Linked DNA regions of Diceros bicornis minor. The protein of the gene in region 1 binds, or shares a complex with, the protein of each later gene. Links are inferred from orthologs where the notes say so. Each region holds a gene or a part of one and is shown on either strand. Other genes may lie near its edges.

Region 1 (7,822 bases):
TGGAGCACTGCTCACAGTGGACTGCAATATACCTGTTTCCCCCTCGGAATATGCTCCTTCACAGCAAACACCCGCTCTAATTTCCCTGTGTCCCCAGCGCCCAGCCTAGACCTGGCACAAAATTGGGGACTCGGTAAATATTTACTATATGGAGCAGCTTTCATAGGCTCCCCCGTCTTTAGTTGCAGTTCTTTCCCCACTGCTACCTGAGCTTGCTAAAACTAAACACAGACCACCACTCTTCCCTGCTCAGCAACCTCCACAGCATGCCACGTCCTACAGAACAAAGCCAAGCTCCTGAGTTTGGCACTCAAGGCCTGTTCTGGCCCTAGCCTGCTTCATCTTCTCCACTGACTATTTCATCCCTCAAGCGGGAACTCCTGCCAGATCATATGACCTGGACACGACACTTGCCATGCTTTCATTCCTGCATGTGCCAAAGTGATGACCTCTTTCTCATCCTTTAAGCCCCAGCTCATATGACATTTACCTTGGGAAACCTTTCGGGCTGCTCCCATCCCCCTGCCAGGCAGTCAGTCGCTTCTCTCTGGCCTTCCACCGAGCTCTATGCTTCCTCTCACATGGCTCATTATCTTCCTGCAGTGCCTCTTTTCTCATCTGTCTTCCTTATTTTCTTATCTGTCTCTTGTTCCCTAGGCTAGGAACCATCTCTGGATTTATTTCTATTTCCCCAGAACCTGTTCACTTAAACAGTACACTGTAGGTCCCCACTGTGCTGAAAAAGTGAATAGCCCAGGCTTACCTGTTTCACAGTCCCAGAGACGACAGCTGTTGTCAGCTGAGCCAGTGAGGACATGCTTGGTGTCCCCTGAAGAGGGTGTTAAGAAACATGACTGAGTTCACCTGAGCCCTTGTCCTCTTGGGAGCCAACTCAATCATCTCCCTTTTCAGCCCCAAAGAGCTTTTCTTCTTCTCTCTTACCTCAGAGGTTTCTCACCTCCTCATCTAGAACTGGAACTTGTCCTGAATCTTCCCCCAATCAGTGAACAAAGGGAGTAGGAGGCTTCATTATCTAGACCCACAAGAGCATCCCAAACTCCCAACCTCCAACTCAGCAGCTTTTCCATTGCTGGCAGACCCTGGGAGCATAGACTCAGGGCCAAGACAAGGATACAGTCAGCGTCCACACACCACACAGCTCCAGTATGGCCCATGTAGGTGCCCAGCCTCTCACCATTCACGGAGTACCATACATTGACAATCTGGAGGGGTCAACGACAATGTGACAGGATGGTACACAACCCAGGCAGAGCAATAGCCTCCTATTTTGCCCCAGGAACCCTCACCAGCCTCTAGCCAGGCCAGATTCTGCTCTCTCCTGCTCATCTCTTGGGAAACAGCAGGTTGCTGGTAAAAAGACCAACTCCTGGATTCTCCTCCTTCCTACAGGTAAGCGGCAGAGGAGTCAGGAGGCTTGCAAAAATGTCTCCATCTGCCACTGTCCCAGCCCTCCCCCAGACTCCTAAGCCCTCAGAAGAATAAAAGGTCAAGTTGAGTGCCAGTCCAGAAAAACAGTAGCTTTGGTGTCCTGTCCAAGTGGGAGTACTTGGTAGTAGGGAAGCCTGGGGAGTCCTTGCTCTGCCACAATCTCACTGTATTATCTCAGATACAGTGCTTTTCCCCTCTGAACTTCAGTTTGCCTATCTGTAAAATAGCCATGACAATAATGCCATTTTCAAAGGGTAGCTGTGAGGCTCCAATAAAATGATTAAGGAATTTAAAATATAGGTGACTAACATTAATTAGGCACTCATACGCACCAGGTGCTAAGCTCCTTACTTGAATGATCTCATTTAATCCTAAAGACAATGCCATGGAGGAGGTACTATCAGTACCCATATTTTATAAAAAGGGAAACTTGAAGTTTATAATTTTATTTATTTATTTATTTTTCCCCAAAGCCCCAGTAGATAGTTGTATGCCATAGCTGCACATCCTTCTAGTTGCTGTACATGGGACACGGCCTCAGCATGGCCGGAGAAGCGGTGCCTCGGTGCGCGCCCGGGGTCCGAACCCTGGCTGCCAGCAGCGGAGCGCGCGCACTTAACTGCTAAGCCACGGGGCCGCCCCAAAACTTGAAGTTTAGAAAGGTTAAATGACACACTCAAAGTCACATTGCTAGTGGATGCAGGGGTCAGGATTCAAATCAGGCGTTTGGCTTCCGCATCCCCACTTTTACCATTAGAGTTAACTTCATCCATGGGGAGGTGCCTCAAAAGGCGGTGCTGTGAGGGCCTGTTTACAATCAGTGAATGGCAGGATGGGGCCCAGAAGGACTGACTGAAATGAGACCAAGGACACCTTTATTAAGTCCTCTGTGTCCCTCACCACCCAAACATCAGCTTTCCCCTTCTAGAGGTGGCTTGTTCCCCTCTCCAGGTAGAATAGTTTTGTTCTCCCCCAGAGTGGTCTCCTCCTGGTCCCCTGAACGAGCTGACCCTTGTCCCCGTCCTCCTTCCACAATGGTCTCTTGCTTTTCTTCTCCCCGGCTACTCCCTCTTTCTACCAACAACTGAGTTCTTTCCCACCTTTCCTGGTAGAATGCTCTCTCCTACCTACCCCCAGGATGGTCTCTCCTTACTTCTCAGAATAGGGCGCTCTTTGGTTCCCCTCTTGCGGCAAAACTCGCTTGTCCACCCATCGCCCTCCAGAATGAACGCGCCCCCTCCAGAGGCCCTCCGCATGATCCCGCCAGCCCGCCCTCCAGCCGAGGCTCACAGGGTCCTTGGCCACCGTGAAGAGGAGGTCTCCCTCGCGGTTGTACTTAATCTGCGTAATGGACCGCTCATGGCCCTGGAGAAGGATCGGCTTCTGTGGGGACAGGACGGGAGAGTCAGCGCCCAGAACCGGCCCCTGTCCAGACCCGGACCCCCAGGGCAACACCTCCAACTCAGGGGAACTTACCATCGCAGCGGTGACGCGAGGAGAGCGGCAACGTGAGTAGAACCGGAAGAGGCTTTGCAGCGGCTTCCGGATTATGGGTCCCCGCCCCTTCGTTCCCGGAAGTGGAAGGGAGCGGCGTTGCCATGGCGGCGTCTCTCGGTGGGTAAGGCGCCCCGCCCCACCATGGCTTACCGCCCGTCTACGGCCTTCAGTTTCCACCTCTGGAGTTCGCTTCCTACTCCACGTCCACCTCCACCTCCACCTCACCCCGACTCTTGCTACAGCCCCAAGCCCCGGGCTCCTGGATTCATCTCCCCGGCCTTCCGGGGTCTGTCCTACCCGCGAATCGCACCCGCAGCGTCGGAGAGCGAAGGAGGGAGGTGGGGGAGGCTAGCTGGGCATAGGAGGCCGGGAGAGGGCCGGCCGGGATGGGAGGCCGGATGAGGGCTGGGCCCGGCGGGCGGCCATTTGGGGGTAGGGAGGGGTCACTCGCATCTCCATCCAGGGCAGGTACTGGCCTTGGTGCTGGTGGCCGCTCTGTGGGGTGGCACACAACCGCTGCTCAAGCGGGCCTCCTCCGGCCTGCAGCAGGTTCATGAGCAGACCTGGGCCCGGCAGTTGCTGCAGGAGATGAAGACTCTCTTCTTGAATACTGAGGTGCGTCTGTGAATGGCCCCTCTCTCGGGGATAGTGGCTAAGAGTTTAGTCTCCTGAGTCAAACAAGTCTGGGTTAGAATCTACACCCCACCACTTACTCGCTAGAAGCTCATGGACAAGTTACTTGTTCTTCTTGAGACTCAGTTTCATCATCTGTAAAATGGGAATTATAATGGTAACCATTTTATAGGGCAGTTGTGAGGATTAAGTGAAGTGAGTTACAGGGCCTAGTACATAAGTAGTGCTCAGCCTATGGCTGCTATTATTAATATTTTATTATTGTGATCCCTCCAGTAGACCTTTCCAGAGCGAGGGCTTGGGGCCCAAACTGGCCCTGGGGAGGGAGTTTAAGGAAGGATATGGAGAACTCCCTCTGACCCCAACACTGCCAGTCTAGGCTAGTGGAAAAGACAAGACATGGACACAACCACCTCTCAGGGCTAAGGGGTATGAGAGAGGTACAGATAGTTCAGAGGAGGGAGGCTGGAGTTAGGGGACTTGGGAAAAGCTTCCTGGAGGGAGTGACATTGGCACTCAGGGACTTGCAGGATAGGGGGTATGGGAACTAGGAGGGCTGAGGGAGGGGGCATTCAGGACAAAGGCATGGAGTTCAGTCAGTAACTTTCCCTCTGCCCTGGAAGGGTCCTTTTCAGAAGGCTCAGTGCTCCCTGGGCCCTTATAGCTACCCCTCCCTCCAAGGAAAGGCATATCCAGAAGCTCAAAGTAGACAGTGCTGCTCAGTCAAGCAATCACACTGACTACAGATTTCTTCTGTTTTCAGTACCTGATGCCGTTTTTCCTAAACCAGTGTGGTTCCCTTCTCTACTACCTCACCTTGGCATCAACAGGTGGGTCTCTGGCTTAGAACTGCTATGCTTAGTGGTGGAGGCCACCTGGAAGAGTCACTTTGGGGAGGGAGCCTGAAGCACCTTGTTCCCATGGGTGAGGGAGAGCCCACTGCCTCTGGTTCCCTGTGCACCGCCTTCTCTGAGCAGAAGGAGCACAGGGGGCTGGTTGTGAGTATGCTGCCAGGCACTAGGCTTGGTTTGAAGCCTGGCAGTCTTGTGCAGCAGCAGAGGAAGAAGGAGGGTTCACTTTGCTGTGTCAAGGGCTGGCTTTGATGCTCTTGCTTCCACTGCATGCTACCTGCTTGACCTTGAGCAAGTCCCTCATGTGAACCTTGGTTTTATACGACTGGCTTCATAGCATTGAGAGGATTAAATTCAGTGTATGAGAAGCATCTAGCAGAGTACCTGGTGCACACTGTAGGAGCCCAATAAATATAAATTTCCTTTCCCCCATTGTTTGTTGACTGCCCTCTACTGCATCAGATACTGTGCTAGTTTTACACATTTTATTTAATTCTCATCGTGACCCTGTGAAGGACACATGATTATCTCCATTTAGGAGATGAAGTTACAAAACTTTGGGCAACTTATTTCATCTCTCTTAAGTCCCACAGCATGTCAGTGCAGAAGGGTTTGAAGCCATGTATTACTTAAAGTTTATGCTCTTTAACTTTGCTATGAGAAGTCTCCCTGTGGTGGCTTCACCTCCTCTGGAGTCTCACCCAGGCCCTCTGGGGACTTGAAGGGAGTTTGGGCCCCAGATAGCTCTGGGGAACCTCTCAGGCCATGGGTGGGCAAGGGGATAGGCCAGTCTCCAGACCTGCTGTGTCAGCTTCAACTAGAGTCACTCCACTTTCATCTGTTTTACATTTTGGGCTTCTCATAAGACTTCATTTAAAAGAAAGTTTAAGGGCTGGCCCAGTGGTGTAGTGGTTAAGTTCGTGCACTCTGCTTCAGTGGCCTGGGGTTTGTGGGTTCGGATCCAGGGCACAGACCTATGCAGCACTCATCAAGCCATGCTGTGGCGGCATCCCACATACAAAATAGAGGAAGATGGGCACAGACGTTAGCTCAGGGCTAATCTTCCTCAGCAAAAAAAAAGAAAAAAGAAAGTTTGAAAGACTTGGGCACTCCCTGCTACCCAAGAATGCTGAACCCTCTGGCCAGCTGACTGCGGTTGGCCATTTACCAAGTTTTGGGCAAATGGCAATTTTATGATCCTGTTATCTCATCACCTACTCTGCCTCTATCCTTTAACATCCACCCATTCTAATAATCAGAACAATGGTTACTATTTATTAAGCATCTACTTCAGCCAGGGACTATACAGGCATTGTCATATTTCATCTTGCAACAACCCTGTTGTAAGTAGATGCTGTTATCTTGCTATCACTGTTTTACACGTGGGGAGCGGGCTCCGAGTGTTTGAATGAGCTAACCGAGACTACACAGGGACACCCAGCTCTGCCTCTCCAGTGCCCTTGCTCTTCCAGTGCAGCATGCTGCTTCCCTCCCCCATCTACCATTGTAACCCAGTCTTTAGCAGCCATGGCATTTGTTGTAAGGCATGTAAGCTTAAGGAAGCAGGTCTGAGTAGTAGGAGTTGTGTCAGTTTCTTGGATGGGTAATGCCAGCCATGGTAGGGCCTCACAGGGGATGAGGAGTGGGACAATTCTCGCCTCCACTCACTACCTGAAACAGGTGAGGCCTGGGAGTGCTGGGAAAGAACTTCTTGAGGAGCCAACATGAGCATCCTGGTCTCGCTGGCAGTTAGGAGTTTTGTAAACAAGTAACTCAGCTTCTGATTTATCCATTAGTTTTTTTTTTTTTTTTTCGTATGTGTGTGGTAAGAACACTTAACATGAGATCTACCCTCTTAACAAATTTTAAGTGTATAAAATTTAAGTGTAACACATTTTAAGTTAACAGAGTTGTTAAGTCTGTTAGTCTTTTTCAAGTCTGTTTATTGGGAGTCAGTCACTCGGAGCTTCAAGACTAAGGAGCAGATCCTGGGCTCTGGTGGCCTCTCCCTAAGGCCCAGCCCTGTGGGGCCTGTCCTGAACAGGTACCCGGCCTCCTCCTTCTAACATTCTTTTTTCGTCTTTAACTCCATAAGGCCCAAGCCTGAGCTGAAACAGAAACAAACTGTGCTTCTCCTTCTCTTTTGGTTTGTCCATATCCATTTAATTCGATAAGGGCACAGGCTTGGGAGTCAGGCAGACCTTGGTTTAAATCCTCAATTTGCCTCAATTTATGTGACTTCTTTGAGCCTTTGTTTCCTTTATCGATGCAAAATGATGACAGTGCTGTTCTTGCAGTGTTGTTGTGAAGAGTCAATGAGACATGGACACAAAGCGCCCAGCACAGAATATGTGCTTAGTATGAACAGTGGCTGTGCTTCGTGTCACTGCACTCATTCTGCTGCATCCTTTGGGCTTTGGGTGCCTGTCTGTCCAGATGTGCTTGAGATCTCAGGAGCTCTCTTTGAGTGCAAAGACCTCATCCTTAGCAGCAAACCAGGGTGGTTCCAGACTTTGTAGTTCAGATTTTCATGCTGGAATCTTGAGGGAACATGGAATTTGGAGTTAGGAGACCTGGCTTTGAATCCTGAGCTTGGCTGTGACTTCGTCTGGGAAATGGAGTCCTGAGATACCGTTTTTTAAAAGGCTGTCTTGATGATGAAATGAAAGTGTTTTGTGCTTCGAAAGGCATTTTTGCATCTCAGAGATTCTTTTCATTCTGCTCACTCAGATCTGACCCTAGCTGTGCCCATCAGCAACTCTCTGGCCATCGTCTTCACACTGATTGTTGGGAAGGTCCTTGGAGAAGATATTGGTGGAGAACGTAAGTCGGGCCACTGCAAGTGTGGGAAGCAGCTACTTGGGCCTTGATACCCCTGTTTTGGTTCTTTCTCAAAGCCATGTCCCATGGGTGGGGGAGGAGAGGACCTTCTCCGATCCTGCCCCTTTCCTCTGCAGCTCTCCTGCTTCCTTGGGGCCATCAGAGTTCCCTTCCCCTGGACAGTCTGGGGACACACCCCATCTAAGCCCTTCCCTCAGCCCTGTACCAGCTCCTGCTGGCATGGCTGGGCTCAGAGCCTCTTATTTCTGCCCATTACCGCAGGAGCATTCGCAGGCATTGTGCTCACCGTGGCAGGAATCACCCTCTGCATCACAAGCTCAGTGAGCAAGACCCAGGGGCAACCATCTACCCTTTGAGTGGGCCGACACCACCCTCCAGCTCTACTGTCTCCAGGAAGCCCTCGTGCCATGAGGTGCAGGCTGTGAGCAGATGGACCTAGCACGTCCCCGCTCTGAGCTTCCGCTTCCTCATCTCTTATGGGAATAACAGCTACCTCATGGATCACAATAAGAGAACAAGACTGAAAGGATTTTGTAACTTTCAAGTGCTGT
Region 2 (8,009 bases), on another chromosome or scaffold:
ACACCTACCTGTGAACCTTAAACATCAATGTCAGTCTCTTACCACAACCTTCTGTTCTTCCAGCTCTGATACCTTTACTCCCACTACATCTGTTTCTTGACCTCACTAAGACCACTAGTCCCTCGACCTCTCCATTTTTTCCTAATCTACTGGCACCTCCCACGCCAGGCTTCAAGTGCTTCCCTCTCCACCACAGACCACAGTGTTGCCTATAACTGTCAGTGTCTGCTTAATTCCACTTCACTATGGTTTTTGCCCGCTTAGCTGAAACTATGTCCCCAAACCCAATGGATTCACATTCTTTGACCTCTCATCAGCATTCAACAGACTTGAGCACTTCAAGCTCCTGAAAAAGTTAAGTCTTCTGAGTTTCCATGCCACTATGACACTCCTCTGTTACAGCATTTATCACATTATGTTCTAATTAGCTGCATATGAGTATATCTTCATCTTGAGTTTAAGGTTAGAGTTTGTTTTATCAAACTTTGAATTCTAAGTACCTAACAGTTTTATGGTACATAAAAGGTATCAGTGACTTCAATTAACCAAATGAAATATGTTTTATGAATTAATGTCTAACTGAGAAAATTTAAGTTCTTAGCAAGCAAATCTAGGAATGCTTTGTAAGCGTTCCTTTGCTTTCGTTAAGTTCCTGGTAAGCAGAATCTATGCTTCATTCTTCAGTAAGTACTGCCTCAATAACACCAAGCACTGTACCGTGATCCCAATCTGGAAGAGGATCTAAACATCTAGATCACAGTTGGTCTAACTAGGGTCACTGGCATATTTGGGGCACACAGCACAAACCTCGGTTGGAGAACTGTTTCTTTAATCAGCTCCAGTGAGTCTGGAAACTTTGAGGGTACAGCTGAAAGACTAAATTAGTATTTGTCTAGTGCCAAGCCAGTGATGCAAAAATCATCTGTTACAGAAGCTCAAAGCAGGGCAGTCACAGAGGTTAAGAATGGGGGTGAGGTGGGGGCCAGCCCAGTGGTGTAGCGGTTAAGCGTGCGTGCTCCGCTTCAGCGGCCCAGGGTTCGCAGGTTTGGATCCTGGGTGTGGACTGACGCACCGCTTGTCAAGCCATGCTGTGGTGGCGTCCCATATAAAGTAGAGGAAGATGGGCACGGATGTTAGCCCAGGGCCAGTCTTCCTCAGCAAAAAGAGGAGGATGGGCATCGGATGTTAGCTCAGGGCTGATCTGCCTTACAAAAAAGAAAACCAAAAATAACCAAGAATGGGGGTTGGGGCAGGGGTCTGGGATGGAGGACTGATACTGAACACTCATCCTGGGAACCTGGAAGATGAGTGGAACTTAAACAAATGAGGGTGAGCAGGCAAGGCACTTGTGGCAAAGAGAATACAGAGGCTTGGTGTGAGAGAAACCGTGGCAATGTTTGGAAGATAATGGATCATTTGAAGTTTCTGGAAAATGCTACACCCTCAAAGATAAAGAGAGGAAGAATGTATGCATGTGTTAGGGCTGGTATAGGCCTGATGTGGAGGACGGCAACCAACGGCGGTTTTACACTTAATGTGTGCCAGCACAGTTAGATGCTTTCTGTAATAACTTAGTCTTTGTGAGAACTAAGTCTAAAGTAGCCCCTGAAGGAACTAGACTTTAGGTAATCTGTCCCAAGGCACGTGGCTAATATGTGGTGGAGGCTGCCTACCAATTTGGTCCTTTTTGCAAAACATCAATTTTCTTCTAAGCTGGAAGGACTAGTACACGTTCAAGAGTTAGAAAGAGAAATAATGCATGGGAGTGGAGTGGATTCACAAAGGTGTTTAAAATCTGTAACTAAGATGGAGTGAAAATGAATTTGATGAGATCAGCAGTCCCCAAAGAAAGAGATATATCAGTAATTCCGTTTCAGCGCTTCTCAGTTTTACAAATTACTTTAAGATATGTATACTCCAAATTTGGAACTTCGACAGGGAAAAAGTTATTCTTCCATCTGAAGGTTAAACAATATCATAAACAGATAATACAATCGTTTGTGTCCAAACAGAGAATTAGAGACGGACTGGGGAAACAGGGTCTCCGGCATTAGGAACTAGTAAGGAACAGAGGATCAGGCTAAGATGTTTAGGAAAGCAGAATACTACTGAAATCCTAAATGGGATCCTGCCAAACAAATTTACTTGTTGAGAGGGTTATCTTTTTACAGATGCCCCACTCCTTTGCCAACCGGTTAGAAACTTCTTTGTAAACAACTGGAAAATAAAGACATTTAGTCACTAGATAAGGGGGGAAAACGTGGTCTCTGGGCTTAGGGAGCCAGAGGTTTTGACTTCCTAGTCTGCGCCTGAACTCATTCGCGGTGAACTGGCACTAATTACAACTGACGTGAAATGCTGTCGTGAAGATCAAAAATAAAACCTACGTCACTCGGCACACTTATAGATATTTATTCAATAACCAACTACTCTTTACGTATTTTATGTCGCCCAAAGTGACAGCAATCGGGCAGGAAAGTTCAAGTTCCTTGGGGAGTTAAGTCGCAGCAGGAAGGTGAGATAGAGAAACAGTAAGAGGTCAGTAGGAATGGGAAGAGAGGTGAGCAAGACAAAAGGCCGTGGGAGATAGAAGAGAACGTCGATTACCCTGACCACTCACCCAGCAGGGTCCCGATGACTCGGGCAGCGCCCTCGTTGCGTCGCTCGTAGCTGTCCACGATGGAGGCCAAAATGACGGGGTGCAGCCGGACCACGCGGCCGCCGGGGAAGGGGCCTGGGAGCGCAGGCCCGGGCAGCGACTGCGCCGGCGTCTGCGCGGGGGCTGGCGCTGAGGCCGGGGTCTGTCCCGGGGCCGCGGTCCCAGCCGCCGCCGCCGGGTCTGAGGATGAGGCTGGAGCCGGCGATGGAGCTGGAGCCGGCGGCGCAGCCGGAGCTGAGGGGGAGGCTGGGGCTGGGGCTGACGCCGGGGCTGGGGCCGCAGCTGGGGAAGGGGCTTGAGTGGCGGGAGAAGCACTCGCCGGTACTGTCGGTGTGGCCATCTTGTCGAGAGAGAAAGAGCCGGGAGCGGAAGGGAGCGAGTTAGGGAATATTAGGCACACGATAGGCTGAAAACGCACCACGTGAACTAGATCTTTGTGCCTATTGGTTACTGATGATGCTTCTCACGGCACTACAATTTCCTGCTCTTAGTTTGTGCTCTTTGACTTTGGTCCGATAGGCACTCAGTGAGAAACAAGCTAAATAGTTCCGAGTAAACTTGGGCCCGCGGTTGGAGAAGAGAAACAATTCTGTCTGTGCTGCCGCCGCCCCACGGAGCCGGAGAGCAGCGCAAGGGTCGCAATTCCTGTTCTCAGATTTCAGTGGGAAAATAGTGGATGTCAAAATGCCTTTTAAAGGACTTTGTTCTTGACAGCGTCATAAGGTGTCAGTATGGTGGTTTATTCATTCAACAATTTGAATCTGTGCCAGACGCTCTTTTAGGCGTTCGGGATATATCTGCTAATAAAACAAATATCGTTGCCCCAGAAGAGTTTACATTCTAACGGGGAGAGACAAATGAGTACATTATATAATAAGTTAGAAGGTGATAAGTGCTGTGAAAAAGGAAAAAGTAGCAGAGAATATGAGTGGACTTGAAGGAGGCGAAGGAGGCGGCCATTGTTGGGGGACGGGGAGAGCCTCCAGGTAGAGGGCACAGCTAAGGAGCAGGCCTGGTGTGCTTGAGGAGGCTATGGGGTGGCTGGAGTGTTAGGAGCAAGGCCCGGAGCAGCAAGAGATGGACCTCTACATAGGGGTCAGGGAGCAGATCATTAAAGACCTCCTAGGCCACAGTAAGGACTTTGGCTTTTAGTCTGAGTGAGATGGGGAGCCACTGCAGGGTTGTGAGCAGGGGAGAATCCTGATCTTAGTTTTAAAAGGATCACTCTGACTGCTTAGAGAAGAATAGAATGGAGGGGCGGTTATTGGAGAGAGGGAGGTGAGAGAGAAAGAGCAGGGAGACATGCATGGAGATTCCCAGGAAGCCTAAGTGAGAGGTGATGGTGGTTGGGACCAGGCCAGCGGCAGTGGAAGTGGTGAGAAGTGGGCAGATTACGGCCATACTTTGAGGGTAGAGACAACAGGATTTTCTGAGAAGTTGTATGCGAGGTGTGAAAAAGAGGAGTCAAGAATGACTCCAGTGTTTTGTGCTGAGCAACTAGTATCAAGAAGTTGCCATCAGTTGAGATAGTGAAAGCTACAAGTGGAGCAGGTTTTTGGGAAAAGATCCCAAGTTCATTGTTGGATGTGTCACCCTTGAGATCGGGCATCTCATTAGACATCCAAACAGAACTGTAGAGTGGTCAGGTAGAGATTCTAGTCTGTACTTTGGGAGACGATTAACTGAGTAATGCTCTGTAAAGCTCTTAGCATATGCCTGATATACAGCATTTGTTATTGTTAAGTGGTAGCTATTATTAGTACGATGTGATAGAAGGAGCTCTGAGCCTCACTCCTTGTGTAATTTTGGGCAATTGATAATTTTTTTCTGAGCCTCAGCTTCCTTCTTGGTATAATGGGGATGTTAACATTTGCCTGTCAGGAAACCTGTCAACTCCCTTACTTAGGTCAAATCCCAGCATCCAGCTGGCCAGGTCGGTGGTGAGGTTGAACTTCTTAGCCTTGACTCTTATGTCCAAGAACTGCTTTCTCCTTGGAGCTCCCTTCCATAATCAGAATTCACATGATACTGTTCCCCTGTTAGTGCACTGGGTAGACATTCTCTCTTTTAATTCCCCCAAACACAAGTGAACCGCCTATCAGAGGAGGATTGAATAATGACTCTTGGATTTGATGACCTGGATTTTTACCAGCACTAGTAGAGCAGTGTCAGTGGAATTGAGGGTGGAGTGGACACGGAAACCAGAATTCAGGTGTGAGAGAATGGCCAGCTTGAAATGATGGCAGTGAGTGCTGGCTACTCTCTCAAGGAAGTTGCCTGGGAAGGAAAGGAGACATTTAAGGCAGTAGCTGGGGGAACGGCAAGATTGAGAGGGGGACAGTTGTGGCTGGGAGAGTTTTTAGTATATTTTAAGCTAAGGGTAAGGATCTAGAGGAGAGAGAAAGATTGAATATACAAGTGTGAGCTAGGGAAACTGTCTAATGAAACAAGGCAGGAAGGAGGACCTGAATGGAGAAGCCTAGATGAGAGGGATGGTCTTGCACAGGATGGAGGATATGCTGCAGAGGCTGCCCTGGGCTGTGGCCTCCCTTGTGGGTTCCTAGTGGGGGTCTCCTTTAGCCAGGGCTGGTCCCGTGAGATCATCCTATGGAAAGAAGGCCAGAGGAGAGAATCACCCCTTAGGAATAGGTGTTGCCATCCCAAACTGACCATACACACCCTTGGAATGCCTATCCATGTGTTGATTTGAGTTGGATGTGGACACTTCACCACCAAGAACTTTGCCTTTATATAGATGGCCTAAAGACCTTTCTCTCTGGGAGGAAAGGAGAAAGGGATGGATGAAGAATCGGAGACACTTTGAATTGGGGAGAGAAGGGAAGTTGCAGGAGCTCTTGTCAATTGATATTTTTCTCAGGGAGGTGGAGGCAGAGTGATCTGCTGAGAATGGCAATGCAAGGGTGGGGTTCAGCTTTGGGACAATGGACAGCATTTGGAAGAGGGGCCAAGAGTGAGCCATCAAAGGCATTGATCAATTATGAGAGGGCCCAGCTGAGCCTGGAGACCTCAAGGATCTGGTCAGCTCTTGTATGTTTCTCCAGCCACATTGCTCAGGGGCAGGAGGAGAGAGATCTTTGGCATGGTCTTCCTAGGCATGCTGACTGGCCAGGACAAGGGAGTGCATACATCCAGGATGTTCGCTTTTCAATGGCTGACTGAGGGATCCAGGCAGGCTGAACCCTATAAATGAAACTCTGGGGCCCAGATTCATCAGGAAAGGGCAGAAGGCATGGGGAGAGAGAAAATGGGCTGTCCCCTTGTATTTGGAAAATGTGTTGTGTACATGGTGTATTGGTCAGAGTTCTGCAGAGGAACTGACAGGATAAATATATATATATATATATATATATAAATAAATAAGGAATTGGCTCACATGATTATGGAGGCTGAGAAGTCCCAAGATCTTTAGTCAGCAAGCTGGAGACCCAGGAGAGCCAATATATAGTTCTAGTCTGACGGACTAGAGGCAGGCTCAAGACCCAGGGAGAGCTGATGTTTCAGTTTGAGTCTGAAGGCTAGAAAAGACCGGTGTCCTGTTCAAGCAATCAGGCAGGAGGAGTTCCCTCTTATTCAAGGGAGGGTCAGCCCTTTTGTTCTCTTCAGGCCTTCAATTGATTGGATGAGGCCCACCCGTATTAGGGAGAGCAATCTGCTTTACTCAGTCTATCAATTTAAATGTTAAACTCATCCAAAAGCACCCTCATAGACACACTCAGAATACTGTTTGACCAAATATCTGGGGACCCTGCACCCCTGTCAAGTTGACACATAAAATTCACCGTCACATCTGGGTTTCTGACTGTCCTGGGGAACAAGCTTGATAGTCCTGCCTGAAAAGACCAGGGTCATAACTGTAGGCTCATGTTAAAGATGGGGCCTGCAGCTTGATAAACCCATCCCACCTCCTCAACGATGGTTGGAGTGAAGGGAGCCCCAGCTACAGCTGCAACTATAGGAGGACCACAAGGGGGAGCCCCAGGCTCTCTTGACTCTGTAGCAACTGGAACTTGAGACTTAACTCAGCCTTCCCTGATGGGGCAGAGCTGTGCAGGAACCATGGCCCCGTCCTTCTGCAGACCGGGCCTGGCACAGGCAGGCTGGTGGGCTGCCTCCCACAGTTTGTCTCTGCTCGTCGCCAGCACCTAAGAACATTAGAAGAGGTATTCCCTTTAAAATCAGGAACAAGACAAGCATGGCTGCTATCACCACTTTAATTCAACATTTAACCAGAGTCCCAGCCAGCACAGTCCGAAAAAGGAAAACAATCAAAGGCATAAGGATTAGGAATGAGAAAGTAAAAGCCATTTTCTGCAAATAATGGTTACCTGCATAGAAAACCCAAAAGAATTCAATTCATAGATAAATTATTAAAACAATAGGTGGATAGATCTGACAGATGAACAAGCTATTGCTCTTCTATGCATCAACAATAAAAAATTAGAAAATGTCATTATAAGTACACCATTTACAAAAGCAACAAAAATATAAACAACAAAATATGTGCAAGACCCATACATAGAAAATTATAAAACTTTACAGAAATGCATTAAATAAGACCTAAATAAATTATAATCCATGATCACAAATAGGAAAACTTAATATCACCAAGACGTCAATTCACCTCTAATAAACCTTTAGAGTCAATGCAATCTAAATCCGTCAAATTTTACAAACGTGTTCTAAAACGTATAGGAAAAAGCAAAGGGCCGAGAATAGCCAACACGGTTTTCATGAAAAAGATGGCAGAATGGGAGGGAGATCCTGTGCTATCAAACATTGAGACATATCCTAAAACTGTAGTAATTAAAACATAATATTGGACCTGCTCTACCAGATTTCAAGACCTTTTAAAACTGGAGATATAGTAATTAGTAAATCATTGTATTGGTGCAGAATAGATGAAATGGAACAACAATAAAAAAGAGCCAGAAACTGTACTAGGCATTTATGACACTTTGATATATAAAAAAGTATCATGGCAGATTAATGGGGAAAGGAAGGACAATTCAAAAAATAGAATTAAAAAATTCCTGCTAGACTAAGAGGTTAGAACAATACCTTAAACACATTAAAATATACAGAGGTAGATGTCTATCTCTCTGACATTCAAATAGAAAGTATTTCTTAAATAAAACCCCAAAAGCCCTAACTGTAAAAGACAGCACTGACAAAGTTGGCTACACTAAAACTAGGATTGGTTTTTCAAAAGACAGCTTAAAGAAAATAATAAAGATTTTCTAAAGAAAAATGTAGAAAAAATGAAGAAAAGTAAAGAAAGAAATTAATAAAAAAATAAAGAAAGGAAAAGCCATAAACTTGGAGAATATAT

Evidence for each region. The genes of interacting proteins can lie anywhere in the genome.
Region 2: EIF3I (region 1) and EIF3F share a complex: the UniProt entries of both Homo sapiens proteins name them as parts of the eukaryotic translation initiation factor 3 (eIF-3) complex. The link is inferred for Diceros bicornis minor from reciprocal best matches to the Homo sapiens genes EIF3I and EIF3F.

Annotation. Positions count from the first base shown.
Region 1 is NC_080752.1:47,009,009-47,016,830, reverse strand, and holds the start of EIF3I (eukaryotic translation initiation factor 3 subunit I), read right to left. Parts: upstream 2,999-7,822; 5' UTR 2,958-2,998; coding exon of another isoform or gene 2,929-2,957; coding exon 2,926-2,928; coding exon of another isoform or gene 2,833-2,925; coding exon 2,740-2,832; intron 1,224-2,739; coding exon 1,136-1,223; intron 830-1,135; coding exon 764-829; intron 1-763. Other genes in the region: TMEM234 (transmembrane protein 234), read left to right, coding at 2,798-2,957, 3,410-3,561, 4,343-4,409, 7,161-7,253, 7,533-7,627. UniProt on the Homo sapiens protein: Component of the eukaryotic translation initiation factor 3 (eIF-3) complex, which is required for several steps in the initiation of protein synthesis.
Region 2 is NC_080746.1:66,883,324-66,891,332, reverse strand, and holds the start of EIF3F (eukaryotic translation initiation factor 3 subunit F), read right to left. Parts: upstream 3,015-8,009; 5' UTR 3,000-3,014; coding exon 2,621-2,999; intron 1-2,620. UniProt on the Homo sapiens protein: Component of the eukaryotic translation initiation factor 3 (eIF-3) complex, which is required for several steps in the initiation of protein synthesis.